Linked DNA regions of Mus musculus. The main gene of each other region encodes a partner of the protein of the gene in region 2 in a complex. Links are inferred from orthologs where the notes say so. Each region holds a gene or a part of one and is shown on either strand. Other genes may lie near its edges.

Region 1 (7,754 bases), on a different chromosome or scaffold from region 2:
GCTGTACCAGCACGCAGCATCCGGCCCCTCCTTAACAGCCCCAGGCCAGGGAGGGGCAGCATTTCTCACACAGGTGGAGCTGGGACGCCACCTGCCCAGATGGGTCCCTTCCTAACATACAATAAACAGATTTACTACCTTCGTGGACGGATCTCAGAGACAAGGGCAGAAAGAGCTGGATGCGGTGAATATGGGTGCAGGATCTGAGATGAAGACCTTGAGGCCTTCTGGGGGTCAATCTTCTGACTGCCATGCTTGTATGTGGGACACACCTATCCACGCGTCATGTACGCAAACAGTAAATAAGTAAAGGCAATGCAGAGGAGTCTGCTGTGCTCACACACGATTTTTTTTTTTTTAAATTAAAACAAATGCTGCAGAGAGGATCATGAAAAGGTAGGGAAAGGAGCAGGAGCACTCCTTAAATTAGAAAGGGTGACCTCTATTTTCTGTGTCCAGCAAGAACAGGCATTTGCTCCTTTAGATCAGTCCCAGGTGCTGCAAAACGGGCGGGTGAGATTCTGCTCTGAGGGTTGAGTGAGCTCAGCAGCTAAGGGCACCGCTGCTCTTGCAGAAGACCCTGGTTAGGTTCTCAGCATAGCTCTCTCACAGCCACCTGCTAACTCTGGTTTCAGGGATATCTGATGCCCTTTACAGGCACAAGTGCAGACACACAAACAGTCAAAACACTCATGTACATAAAATAACCTAAACAATTTTTTCACACGGGTGTAGTGGCACATACCTTTAATCCCAGCACTTGGGAGGCAGAGGCAGACGGATTTCTGAGTTGGAGGCCAGCCTGGTCTACAAAGTGAATTCCAGGACAGCCAGGGTTATACAGAGAAATCCTGTCTCACAAAAACCAAAAAACAAATTGTTTAAAGAAAAGCAATTCTGGGAGGATGGGAAGGGAGCTTTTTGCAATGTAAATAGAATAAACATATAAATTAATGGAAAAAAAAAGCAATTAGGAGTATGATGAGACACAGCACTGGAGAAGCCAAGGGCACTGGGCAGCCCTGCCAAGAACCACTGAGAGATTTGGTGATGGGGAATGAGAGAGCCCACCTTTGCAGGAGAGGGGAATCCTCCCGAGGAAACCACTCCACACTTTCCTCCCAAGAAAGCAGGTGAGACACAGGTAAGAGTTGAAAATTTATTCAGAAAAAAGCAACCCCCCCTTCCTGTACCTCGCCCGATATGGCGTTTCTAGGGCCCCGCCCCTCCCTCCAGATCATCATCCCTTTTCTACTCCAGCCTCCATCACGCTGTTATGATGCTGCTACTTGGGTGAGGGGTTCCTCCAGGTACTGCACCAGGGCCTGGGCCTGCAAGGAGGCAGGAGCACAGTCAGTCCATGCATCGCTTATGCTTAGACGGATCCCTGAACCACGCTGGCTCCCCACGCCACACTTAGCAGCCAACTCCCCCCCCAGCCCACCCCCACTGCTCTTTAGCCCATCCTAGACATGGAGTGAGGAGCTATGAGAACTCCAGAGAGGGGAGGGACATGTAAGGAACACAGTGAACAGGAACTAAGGCTGGATCAGTGCTGGGATGATGATATTGCGCCCTATGTAAAGATCATCTTTGTATTATTATTCAAATGCCGATTTCTGTGCCAGCAGAGTTTAATGCAGACTGGACTTTGGTTCATTTGGTTTCATTTGGCTACATATTTTGTAAACACTCTCGCTCACCTTTTGATCAGCTTATTAAAAAGCAAAGGCAGGAAGTAGGAGGTGGGACTTCCAGGAAGAGATAGGAATTCTGGGAGAGGAGTTGCCAGCTGGACAAAGATGAGGAAGCAGGTACCAGGACATGACTAAGATGGACAGGTAATGGGTCATGGACATAGGCCAAGCCAATATGGTTGGGTTAGAATAGTTGAGAATCTGCCCAGCTATAGTGCCCAAAGCTCATAATAAACCTAATTAAAGTCTCCATGTCCTTTATTCAGAGCAAGGGCATGCATAGATGTTACAGCCCAGAAAGTTTATAACAGAGGAATATACTCACCTTAGCCTTGAGCATTCCGAAGCCTACGGTCTCCTTGGCATACATACATAGCAGAAGGTTGGCCACCCTCGTAATGGCTACACGGCCCTCCTGGTGGGAAGGACATGATACTTTGGGGCATTCTGCTTGACATCCTTAGTTCCTGCCTTCCCCAGGGTTCCTCTGGTCCTAGTGACATTGTCTCCCAAGCTTAGCAGAGCAGGAAGTTCAGCTAGGAGCTCTGCCCAGCATTTAAGACATGGGGGTCTGAAACTGGATTCCAGCCTCAGCTGAGCCATGTGCTAACCAAGCTATCCTGGGAAACCAAGTCTTCCAGAACTTGGGGTTCTCTTCTCTAATGCCGAGAACTGTCTCAGCAGGTCAGGACCAGGAACCCAACTCGTATGCTGCTCTGGCAGTAGGCTTGAGTTCGAATCCCAACACCAACACTGTGCTCACAATCATCTATAACAGCAGTTCAGGGGCTCCAATGCCTTCTTTCAGCCTCCTTGGGGGCATCATGCATGCACATGGGGCACATATATACCACCTGGGCAAAGCAACTCATACATACAGAATAAAACAAACCTTAAAAAGGTAAAAACAACTCCCCCCCACACACACACAACCCAACTTATGTCTCTTCTTTTCCTATGGTGTAACTTTTCAAAATGGGGATCAATTAGGGTGGGTCAACATTTGAAAATAACAATAAAAATGTCATGGCACATCTATGTGAGAGAAGTGATGTTTCACAGAACTTGCTCCAGTGTGTATACTAGCCTCTGACTCAAAAATAAAAACTGTGTTTCTTGGAATGGGTTCTAGAATCCCAAACACTCTAGGCAACTGCTCTACCACTGAGCTCCACATCTGTCCCTTAAAAAGCATTTCTTAGAGCTTAGCTAGGCTGCAGTGACACCAGCCCTGGACTCAGTACCCAGTGTGAATGAGAGTGGGTGTAAAGAATGGGCTGCCAGCATGACAGTGAAGAGCTTCCCAAGGGGCCTTCCCCACTGCAAACACCTTTTTCAGTTCTGCACACTGCCACTCTTCAGAGGACTTTAGCCCTTTCTCCCGACAACCTTTTCCCATTCTGTGATGCTCCATCTTTACTGATCTTTGTCCAAGCCTCACTCCGCCCTCGGCCCTTTGCAATTGCTGTTGTCAGAAATACTTGCAAAGTCTGCTCGGTGGTGGTGTACACCTTTAGTCCCAGGACTTGGGAGGCAGAAGCTAGCAGATTTCAGAGTTCAGCCTGATTCTATAGAGTGAGTTCCAGGACAGCCAGGACTACACAGAGAAGCCCTGTCTCGAAAAACAAAAAAAGAAAAAGAAAGAAAGAAAACAAATACTCGAAGAGAGCCTGCCTCAGTCTCTCGTGTACTGAACTAGAGGCATAAGCCACCATAGCAAGCACTGTTAGAAATATTTCCCCAAATGATTGCTGTATGGCTTAATTCTCTTCCCCTTTCCTATCGTCCTTCGGATCTTTTAACAAATGTCTCCTTTTCACTGAGATGGACCCTCACATAGGCCAGCACCGTACTCTCACTTCCTTTTTTAATATCTATGTTTTATTTGGCAAGGTGCGATGGTGCACACCTGCAATCTCAGGGTTGAGGTGGCAGAAGCAGGATAATCATTGCAAGTTCGAAGTCAGCCTACTTTACTCCATACCATGCAGTCCATCAGGATAAATTTGAGACTGTCTTCATTAAACGCTTGGTTCCCGTTCCTATCATACGCGGCCCAGATGTTACTGGCGATGGCCGCAGTGACCCGGGCATCTGTGTCCCCATAACCGGAGTAGGCCAGCAGCGATCCCTCATTATTCAGCAGCCTGGCAAGAATGGGAAGGATATCAACAAACTCAGGAAGAGTGAAAGGTCTGAGTTCCTATCCCAATTCCAGCTACTGGCGCTTTTAGGAAGCAAGAATCCAGGAACACGCTAATCAACTGTCCATTTCCCTTTCCGAGGAAGCCCTCAAGCAGGGTTTCCGAAGCTGCAGCTTGCAACATTAGCCACCTCCCGGCGTAGGGCTCTTCCCTACCCCTACTGCAGACAGCCGCGCGCCGCCCCATTCCAGCGCTCGCTGCTTGGGTTCTTGTTCACTCACAGGGTGCTCTGGACTCCTCCAGTGTTGGCTTGGCTTAGCACCTGCGTCAAAGCCTTGGGACGCAGCATGCCTGCGTCTCTTAACCCTGACCTGCACCAACACACCCCTACAGTCGCAGCCTCTTGCTCTCCCTCAGTCGCTTCCGGTGGCCCAGGAGCCCAGCTACGAGGCGCCTGGGAGTTGTAGTCACCGGGCCCATCTACTGAGGCTCTGGCCCAATTCCCGCCCCGCGCGAGGGCCTCTGGGAATCGTAGTTTCATGTGATCGCTCAAGGAATTCTGGGAACCATAGTTCAGCGTTCCAGTGGGACCATGTGGTTGTGGAGTTGGGGGGGGGGAGAGCGGGAGCGCAAGGACAGTGGCAACGGTGGAAATACTTTTAACATCTTCCACGCGAAGGACGCCTTCGTGCCTACTGGTCAATCGCAATCTAATAATAAATCTATCTGTTAGGCACATCCTTGACCATTTTTTAAAGCAATATTGTACGCTAGTCACAATTCTGTGGGGTCTTGCTCTTTTACTCCCAAGGCTCAGAGAAGCCACGTAGGCAAACTCCAGGTCTCTGAAACCGTCCTTAATGGCTCCCTCGGGGCGGTTCCCCGGAGGCCACGACTGCTCGAATCCGCAGAGGTCTTAAGGACGTCCTGAACCAGGAACGAACCCAGGCCTCTCAAGAAAACCAAGTGACCCCAGGGAACGGAGATAAGACGGCGACAACGAAAGTCCTTTGTCCGAACAGGAGGGAGCCGCAGGCGGCCCTGAATCTCCCGCCCTCCGCGCTGTCCGGCCCGGGCCAGCTGCGCACCCTGCTCGGGCCTGGGCCGCCCCAGCTGCAGTGCTCCCCCAGGCCGCCCGGGGCGCTGTGGCTGCGGCTGTCCGGAGTGGGCGGCGGAGCCTTGGGGAGGGGCGGGAGGGGGAGTTGGAGGCCCCGGAGTCGGGCCGGGCCGGGCGGGCCGGGAGGAGGAGGAGGAGGAGCCGGACGGGCTGGCGGGCGGCCGGGCGGCGGCATGGCGGAGCCGAGTGGGGCTGAGACGAGGCCCCAGATTCGGGTCACCGTCAAGACCCCCAAGGACAAGGAGGAGATCGTGATCTGCGATCAAGCCTCGGTCAAGGAGGTAGTATCTGGCTGGGAGGAGACAGGAGGGCGGGAGCAGCGCACCGAGGGGGTCAGAGCAGAGAGGGAGACCTCGGGGTCGGCCTGGCGCCGGGGACGGGCCCCCGGCCGGGGCGGAATCCAGGGGCATACAGGCGGGAGAAGCGGGTAGGGGGCGCCCTGCCAGGGCTAGTCCGGGGAGCGTGGCGCGGGTAGGGGCCGGTTTGGCCGCGCTACCCGGGCTGGGGGCGTGGTGGGGGAGCTTGAGGAAGGGACACCTTGCTTGCGGGCTCCATTTGGAGCCTAGGCTTGAGGAGAGTGTGCTCCAGGGTCACTGGTAGAGGTTCCAGGCGCTAAGGCACCGTGCGGCCCGAGCGAGCTGCGGCTATGCTCTCCCGGGAGTGTCGCGTGGTGGTGGTGCCCTCTCTCTCTCTCTCTCCCTCTCTCTCTCTCTCCACAGAGCCTCCTTGTCGCAAATCGAAACGGTTGTGTAGTTCAGTTTTCTGCTCTACAGGATTTGCTGAGCGCAGTAGGTGCTCAACAAAATAATATAGAATGAGTGAGGGAGTATTGCCTGTGTTCCCCACTGCTTGAAGCTGCTCCAGAATTGCACATAGGCGGGGCTTAGAATAGGCCATCTGGTTGGAAGAGAGGGATCTTTTGCTTAGCAAGTGCACTGTTTATAGTTAGAATATGTGTTGTGTTGTGTTGTGTTTTGGAGGAGCTGATAGAATCTAGAAAATTTAACTCGCCCCAGTGTAGCCGTTGGTACCACTGCTGCTCTCTCATTAGAGAATTTTAAGTCCCCTGGGAAAAGCTGAATTATAAAACAGCTCTTATTGAGAATGTGTCTGATGAAGACATTGATGTCCAGACCTGAGTTCCTATATCCCCGGATACATTACCTCTTCTCTGATCCTTATCTTTAAATTCCCAGCCCTGGGGAGGTAGAAGCAGGTGGATCTATCTGAGTTCGAGGTCTACATAGAAAGTTCCAGGACAGCAAGAGCTACATGCAGAGACCCTGTCTCTTAATTAATTAATTAATTAATTAAATTTAATTAATTTAATTAAGTAGAGATGGTAACTAACACACTAGATTCCTCAATAGATCTCAATAATACTCTAGATTATCTGTTATAGTGATGAGGAAGCTGGGACTGAAAAGCAGAGAGAAGGCTGAAGAGAGACAGCCTGAGCCCAAGGCTAGTTGAAGGATTTAGGATGGGGAGGGCTGCCCATGCCTCTGTGAGGTATCACTTTCAGAGAATTGGGTGGTGGGACAGAAGCTGCTGTTGTGGATAGCAGCAGGGGCTTTCCAGGGTTGGGATACTGTGTCATGGAACTAATTGAATGGATTCTTGTAGCTAGAGGGGCAGAACTGAGGGTCAAGTCTTGCAGCGGGGCGCAGTTGGCCTCTGCAGTGATCTCTGCCTCTTGACCACAGTTCAAGGAGGAGATCTCCCGGAGGTTTAAGGCTCAGCAGGATCAGCTGGTCCTGATCTTCGCAGGCAAGATCCTCAAGGATGGGGACACCCTGAGCCAGCACGGCATCAAGGATGGGCTCACAGTCCACCTAGTCATCAAAACCCCTCAGAAGTAAGTACAGACAGGAGCTGCCCTTGCTCCTGATTGTGACCTCACCTCCCATTCTTTCTCACCTGTTCAGCAGCCAGGCCTGGCACAGATGGATAAGGTCTTACCTCTGGGGGAGCCTGTCAGTACTCCCAGGTTGCCTTAGAGACTGTTGATAACTGATACCATCCCTCTCCCCAGCATCCTGCTAGCCTGGGGTAAGGGTGGAACAAGGCTGCTTAGGAGGTGGCTTGAGCTGTCAGTCCAAGGCCACCTTGTCACTTGTGCACACTCCAGCCAGGTTTCCCTACTCTTTGTCCTCAGGGCTCAAGATCCAGTGACTGCTGCTGCTTCTCCTCCATCCACTCCTGACTCTGCCTCTGCACCCTCCACCACGCCTGCCTCACCTGCCGCCGCCCCTGTCCAGCCCTGCAGCTCTGGCAATACAACTTCAGATGCTGGCAGTGGAGGGGGGCCCTCTCCAGTGGCTGCAGAGGGGCCCTCAAGTGCTACTGCATCGATCCTCTGTAAGCCTTTAGCGGGGGAGAGCATAATTTTGTATTGGCCAGGGGAGTGGGGTGCACAAAGATAAAGAAGAAGAATGGTCCCTGATCCCTAGTCCTAGTCCCATGACCGTAGTCACTCTTCCAGATGTTGGAACTTAAGCCAAGCTGGGGTGGGGAATGAATGATCGGTTTATGATGGTTTTTTTTTTTTTTTTTAAAGATTTATTTATTTATTATATGTAAGTACACTGTAGCTGTCTTCAGACACTCCAGAAGAGGGAGTCAGATCTCCTTACAGATGGTTGTGAGCCACCATGTGGTTGCTGGGATTTGAACTCTGGACCTTTGGAAGAGCAGTCGGGTGCTCGTACCCACTGAGCCATCTCACCAGCCCTTATGATGGTTTCCATGATTTCAGAGATGGACTCAAGTTCAGGAACAAAAGGAAAGATGGCG
Region 2 (7,202 bases):
TAGAACTCCCTTTGTAGGCCAGGCTGGTCTCAAACTCATGTATCCACCTATCCCATGTGGCACCATGCCCTACTAAAAAAAAACAGTAATTTTTTTTTTGTTTTTTTTGCAGTATTTTTTTAAAAGTATCGAAAGCATATTAGAGTCATATAATGGCTATGTGAGCTGGAGAGGAAGGCCAAGCTGGTCTCCAAACTTTTCTTCCTCGGCCAGATAGTCCATGCTGAGCTGAGATCCAGTCTTTGTCCAGCCTGACTTTTGATTTCTACCCTAACAGGTCCTAACAACATTCTTCAACCTAAGTGTCCTCTACCTTCACGGCAACGGCATCCATCGCCTAGGGGAGGTGAATAAGCTAGCTGTCCTCCCTCGTCTCCGGAGCCTGACCCTCCATGGGAACCCCATAGAGGAAGAAAAGGGGTACAGGTAAGTGCCTGGATCTAAGGTCCAGATGAGTTTCCCTAAGGAACAAGGGGAGAGGAGACAAGAAATTCAAGACCATTCTTCTGCCACACGTGGACCCAGGACGTACCAGACCTCTAAGCATGCCCCTTGCTCTCAGAATGAACCCAGTCCTCCCAAACCATCGTCAAGCTCCCTGCCATTCCCTGCTGTAGGGGCTGGCCCCAGCCCAAGTCTTCCTCACAGGCAGTATGTGCTGTGCAACCTGCCCCGTATCACCACGTTTGACTTCAGTGGAGTCACCAGGGCCGATCGCAGCACAGCTGAAGTCTGGAAACGCATGAACATCAAGCCCAAGAAGGTCCGGGCCAAGCAGGATGTTCTCTGAGATTCGCAGGACCCAGCACACCGAATGCCCTGAGGATAATCAGCTTGGTTTGACAATAAATGATTTGAGCTGTTGAACAGATTATAAGTCCCCTGTACCTTGTTAAGATGCCCTCTACACTCAGCAACTTCTAGTAAAACTTCACAGTGAAGGCAAAAGCCTGCTTGCTGGCTTAGGACCCAGGAGCCAGGTTCTGCCATTCAGGAAACCTTTCTGTCCTCTCTGGGCCCCTTTTGTACTCTTTAGTATTCGTGGGATGAGAGTAGATGAGCAATTTCTAAAATCCTTTTTTTTTTCAAGAGATTCTGACTCTGTGGCCCAAGGTGGCCTTGAACTTGTAGCAATCCTGTTGCTTCAGCCTCCTGAGTGCTGGTATTTCAGGAAGAAGCCACCATGCCTCACAGAAATCTTCATAAGTACCAAGGTGTGTGGCGCTGCCTTCAGCGTCCAGACTAGGAACAGCAGTCAGCTGTGATCTACTTCTAGCAGAGCAGGGTAGTTTTACTCTCAGGCTGTGATTCTGGTCAAGATTTCATTCCCTAGGGGGCTGGAGAGATGGCTCAGCGGTTAAGAGCACTGACTGCTCTTCCAGAGGTCCTGAGTTCAATTCCCAGCAACCACATGGTGGCTCACAACCATCTGTAGTGAGACTTGATGCCCTCTTCTGGTGCATCTGAAGATAGTGTACTCATAAATAAACTTTAAAAAAAAAAAAGATTTCATTTCCTAGCTGGGCATAAAACTCTAATCCCAGCTCTAGGAGAAAGAGGCAAGCTCTCTGTGAGTTCGAGGGCAGCCAGGGCTCCATAGTGAGGCCCTGCTGGGACAGGAGAAGACAATCATTTCTTGAAAAGACGACAAGCAGAGCAGGGTCTTTCCCACCACTAGGGGCAATGTGTAAGCCTCCTGAGGCAGGGGCACCAATGGTCACAGCTGCCTCATAGTCAAGTCTGAACAGCTCTGACAGTGTGACCATCAATGGAGAAGGGACAATGAATACTTATCCTCCTGGGGTCATCCCACAATGTATCATCTAAGACCCGGGAACCCTGAACTTTTGTCTCCTGCTTCCTCTTTAATGCTGCTGCCGACTTTCTTCTGCTTGCAGCACTGCACTGCTTGCAGACTTGAACAGCCAGAAGTAAAGAGTGGGCAGGACAGAGCAGGTTGAACCAGCAACACAAATGAATATACTTTCTTTATCGAGGGGTGACAAACAAAAACAAAAAGAGCAAACATGTAAAAACCCAGGGTGCTAGAAATACAAACTCAATTCAGACTCAAGCTCGTCTAGACCCTGGTCATAATCCCCAGTGAGGTGCCTGTGAGCACCAAGTCAGGGAAGGGGACAGGAGTGAATCGGAGGCCAAGAGAAAGAGGGCAGGAAGGGATCTCCTAGGTCTCCCGGTGTCACCCCTACAGTGGTATCTCCATCTTCCCAATGACTGAAGATCTGCCAGGCCCTGTCCTCTTGGCCCCAACCTCACCCTAACCAGAGCATGAAGGCCGATGGCAATCGGTCCTCCCTTCCCTTGCTTAGTCCTCACTTGCTCCGGCCTCCAGCCTTGTTCTTTCCCTCCACATTCTTCTCCGTGATTAGTAGCAGGTTAGGTACTGTAGAGAGCCACAGTGAGGCTGGGGGCCAGAAGAGGTGGGGTGGAGACGGGGTGAAGACGAGGGAAGAGCTGTCCTAGGGCCCCTCTCTTCATGGGATCCCAAACTGTACAACCAGCTCTTCTTTCGCATCCACGCGGATCTGAGAAAGTGCACTATAGGCATACGCAGCTATCCTGGAGACCTGAGACAGAGGCCAGGGAGGGAAAGAACAACATGAGAGGGAGACTTAAGAGTGTGAGCAGAGGGAGGGGCAGTAAAGGAAAGAAGGAAGAGTGGACTGAAAGCCAAAGGAGCTGTGGGTGTGCTGCTGCTTGCCTATAATCCCACCACTCGGGAGGCAAAATCAGAAGGGCCACAATTCAGTTCCAGCCTGGGCTATAACACTGAGTCCTTCTCTCAAAGCCCAAAGGTTAGGTTAAGATTGTAGCTTAAGGGCTGGAGAGATGCCTCAGCGGTTAAGAGAACTGACTGCTCTTCCGCAGGTCCTAAGTTCAATTCCCAGCATCCACATGGTGGCTTACAACCATCTCTAATGAGATCTCATGCCCTCCTCTGGTGTGTCTGAAGACAGATACAATTTACTTACATATAATAAATAGGTAAATTTAAAAAAAAAAAAGATTGTAGCTTACTGGTAGAGCACTTGCCTTGCATGCACAAAGCCCTTGTTTTATCTCTGGAAGGAAGTGAGAGAAAAAGACAAAAGCAAGGGCAGATGCTAGGAGAATAAACAGTGTGTGTGTGACTGGGGCGGGGAGGTGGGGGTGGGGGAGACTAAGAACACTGTGAAAACCAAGACCAAAGTGGGAATAAACTGGGTGCACCAATACTAGGCTTCCCACCCACCCACCCTCCACCCCTGGGAAGCCATGTGGGAAGTGGTAGGGGACCAGCCAGGAGTGCTCACCTGCTGCAAGTCAGAGAAGGGGATAGGCTCACTGGCCAGCACTTGGTGGGGCTGGCTGGTGAGAGATGGCAACGGTGGCAGCTTCTTCCAATGGGTCAGACTGCTGCTAAGCACAGCCAAGCGGGTACTGGCCAAGAGGGAGGAGACAGGGAAGGACAATTAGGCCAAAGCTTGCCCTGTCCTGCCCAGGCCAGCCTCACTCCCTCAGGCCAAGGGATCATGGTGACAGGGTACAGTTCATTCCAAACTCACTCTGGCTGTACTCCTTTGACCTGATCACCCTGGATCAAACACATTGGGCAAACTGGGCCGACTTGAATGCCTGAGGCACTTAAGTGATCTGTAGCTAGTTTTCTGGGCTCCACCCAAATGAAGAGCCTGGACTGGAGAGCAAACTCCCGAGCTAGAGAAGGATGTCTAGGCAGCTGGCCCATGCTTACCTGTACTGCCTTGCCCGGTCCATGTACTCATGCTGTTCCATGCCCTGGGAGTCTGCGGCAGACACATCAATGATGTTGCTTTGAAAAGGAGAGACAGAGAAGACATGACAGGTGCTTTAGATGGTCACAGACGAGAAGCAGTGCTAGGTGCGAATCCCAAGGCCTTCTGACACTAGTACTCAGCCAGCCCACCGTAACAAGGCAGAACCCAGTGACATCGCTCCCTAATGACCTTGTCCCATCCTCTATGTTCCAAACTTGGCTGCCTGTGTCCCAGCCTGGTCCTGTGACACTCACCTAGCTGTCTTGGCAAGGATGGAGGAAAGCAGGGCCTGCTCATCTGTGCGAGCTGAAGGTAGGCTATGGTAGTTGGGCTCGGCTCCATTGAGGGCTTTGGTAGGGGTGCTACTGGGGTCCAGCAGCAGCTTCCTCTCCTCCCGATCCTAGGAGGGGCCAGTAGAGAAAAGTCAGCCCCAGGGCCTTAAGTCTAATCTTCCTTTCATTTCAAAGGTTCTGACATACTAAAACTACTTTTATGAGCATGACTCCAAGTGTCCAGGTAGATGCAGAGTCAGAAAACATTCACTCTCAGACTGGCCCAGTTGGTGGTCTAGGATGAACCTAGAGAACCTAAAAAACATTCAGAGGGGAGCAAAGCAACACTGACATTCCTGGAGCCTCAGTAACTGGTCAACCCCTTCTGGACAAAGGCTATTGGAACTGACTGAAAGTTGGAGAAGGCGGGAAAATATCAAAGTAAGGTTCTAGAGGAGAAATCAATGCAAGTCAAAAGCCCAAGAACAGCCTTCCTGGTTCCCCGGGGAAAGTACTGCCCAGCAAAGATGTCTACCCACAACATAAGGCCCTAGCATGGCCAGATAAGTCCCTGGACTGCAAGGAAGCAGGCCAGTTGTACGCTGCCATTCCTCGCTTTATCTTAGTGCAGAAACTCCAAGCCCACAGCCGAGATACAGTCACCAATGTCCTCTCTCCCCCCCCTTTCTCTCCAGGATCTTTGTACACACATGCACACAAAGCACAGTCCTCCCATGTTCCCCAGGCTGCGAGGGTACTATAGAACCCAGCTGGCCTGGTACTCGCCAGGGTCGGGCCTCTACCTCCTGATTTGCTGACCTGAGAGAACAGTGGAGCTCTTCCTCCCAGACAAACTACACTCTCCCTGACCCAGTCAGCCCAGTCTCCAGCAACCCTGCTTACTAACCTCCACAGACAACCTCAAACACCAGAACCAATTTAGAATTAAACCAAAACTACATCTCCTAACATTGGACTTTCCTTGTCCTGGTTCAGACCTTGTTCTAATCTACTGCCTTAAGTCCATCAGTAGAGACCCCTGCTGGCTGTGTCAGCTGCAATCTGGATAAGCAGACCTGATTCAAGTCTATTTGGGCCCTAGAAGGCTCGGGACATGGCAACTTCTGAAGGAGTATAGTGTGTAGAAGGAGAGGAATGCTGGCCAGTGCTGACCCATCAACTTCCAGTGGCCGCCAGCCAGTCTCAGCAGTCCTCCTGGGCTGTCTCAGTTCCCACCAGCTTCCCAGTTACAGGAGCCAGCTCTCCTGCTCACAACTCTCCCTATGATGGCTACTTCCTCCTGCCTGGCCTGCCCCACCCCAGACAGGCTCAGCCTTTCCACTTTGCTCTTCCTCCTCAGAACTACATTGCCCAAATGTCCTCAAACCACTCGACCCAGTTCACCACGACAGAAGGAAACATCTACGGTCTTCTGCCTCAGGTTCCTGGACAATCTATCTTTCTCCTTCCTCAGTATCAATAGGCTAGACAGATAAAAGGTTTACCAAAGGTGAAAGGGTCTCTAAGGGAAGCTGGTGGTCACAAGGAGTCCCCCACGGCTGCTGCCGGTCCTTTCCCCAGCACTGCTCCTGACAAATATTCCTTCAGGATAGGGCCGTGTCATCCCCAACCCCACCGGGAAAAAGTTAATGACATCACCTGACACCCACAGAATGAGTGATACATGGGGTAGGTTTCTTACATCAAGGTTTGCTTCCTAAGCCAATACAACCTGAGTCAAGATTTCATTATTGACTTTAGCAGACCTAAGGTGTCTGCCCACCACTACCTCAGAGCCTGTCCCAGTATATAAGGTATGTGTCTTGTTCTTAGAACACCATGACTAGAGTACTTTTTTTGTTGTTTTTGTTTTTTGTTTTTCGAAACAGGGTTTCTCTGTGTAGCCCTGGCTGTCCTGGAACTCACTTTGTAGACCAGGCTGGCCTCAAACTCAGAAATCCACCTGCCTCTGCTTCCCGAGTGCTGGGATTAAAGGCGTGCGCCACCACGCCCGGCGTGGCTAGAGTACTTCTAACATTAGCTAAATTGCTTCAATCCTCCTAACTTTTCCCTCACCTTTAAACATTTTACAGGTAACTAGCAGGAGTCAAATGAAGCAATCGTAGGCGGCCTCTGAAGACCTATTGCTTATACATTTTTCTTTTTGAGACAGACAGGCCCTGAACTTACTGTGTAGCCAGACAGACCACAAACTTGAGGCAGTTCTGTGTCAGCCTCCTAAGTACTGGGACTCACTCTCTTAGGTGTAAGGTAATTCTTACACTTCTAATACAGGGACAGGCAATGCTGAAGAGGGCCTACCTAAAGAGGGACTGGGGATATGACCCTGGGGTTTGATCTCTACGACTGCATAAAACTGGACATAGTGAGTGACATATGCCTAGGATCCCAGCACTCAGGGAGAAGCAGAACCAGAAATTCAAGGTCATCCTCAACTGTATGGCAGGTCTGCAGCCAGTCTGGGCTTCAGGAGACCTTTTTAAAAACAAACCAAACCAGCCAGAAATGAGAATCTGTAAAGAGGAAGGTGGAATTTTAGCTTTCCCTCCATAACTCTGCTGTTAGGCAGGGATATCTGCCTTCTTCTTCCTTTTCTGTTGTTTTGTGGTGGGTTCCTATTTTTGCAGTTCTAGCCTTTAGCATGACAGAATGAAGTGAAAGTTACGGCCACAGGCATGTCAAACTCAGGTCAAGCAATGAATGAGGTTCAGGAAGCACTCACCCCGACACAAATCACATTCTCCTGAACTGCAGGGTTCACTGGGGGGAAGAACACCTTCCCAAGTACAGCGACACCACTTATGTCTCTGACTGTATCCTCCACTAGACCGGGTGAAACTGTTCTCTGTGGCACGGTGCCTACTGTGTGTAGACATCAGGGCTCAGGCTTCGAGGCAGCTGTTAAGAGGAATGGCCAGGGGGCTGACACCCAGCCTTGCAAAAGTCTTCCCCTCCTCAAAAGCGTCTAGGCAGGGAAGGGACTGTAGTAGAGAGGAATGAGATGCACCAAGGGGAAGATGGAAATTTAAAAACAAGACACTGAAGTCTCTCCAAGTCGATGCTTTCTCGAAAAGAGTAAGATCTACAATCACATTCTTCAGAGAGGAACTCT

Evidence for each region.
Region 1: Lamtor1 (region 2) and Lamtor2 share a complex: the UniProt entries of both Homo sapiens proteins name them as parts of the ragulator complex. The link is inferred for Mus musculus from reciprocal best matches to the Homo sapiens genes LAMTOR1 and LAMTOR2.

The regions. Positions count from the first base shown.
Region 1 is NC_000069.6:88,548,674-88,556,427, forward strand, and holds Lamtor2 (ragulator complex protein LAMTOR2), read right to left. Parts: upstream 4,279-7,754; 5' UTR 4,191-4,278; coding exon 4,123-4,190; exon of another isoform or gene 4,057-4,122; intron 3,845-4,056; coding exon 3,682-3,844; coding exon of another isoform or gene 3,661-3,681; exon of another isoform or gene 3,557-3,660; intron 2,113-3,556; coding exon 2,023-2,112; intron 1,332-2,022; coding exon 1,275-1,331; 3' UTR 1,146-1,274; downstream 1-1,145. Other genes in the region: Ubqln4 (ubiquilin-4), read left to right, coding at 5,132-5,239, 6,665-6,816, 7,117-7,319. UniProt on the Homo sapiens protein: As part of the Ragulator complex it is involved in amino acid sensing and activation of mTORC1, a signaling complex promoting cell growth in response to growth factors, energy levels, and amino acids.
Region 2 is NC_000073.6:101,906,659-101,913,860, reverse strand, and holds the end of Lamtor1 (ragulator complex protein LAMTOR1), read right to left. Parts: intron 4,198-7,202; coding exon 4,052-4,197; intron 3,833-4,051; coding exon 3,755-3,832; intron 3,442-3,754; coding exon 3,315-3,441; intron 2,589-3,314; coding exon 2,496-2,588; 3' UTR 1,958-2,495; downstream 1-1,957. Other genes in the region: Lrrc51 (leucine-rich repeat-containing protein 51), read left to right, coding at 278-426, 649-790. UniProt on the Homo sapiens protein: Key component of the Ragulator complex, a multiprotein complex involved in amino acid sensing and activation of mTORC1, a signaling complex promoting cell growth in response to growth factors, energy levels, and amino acids.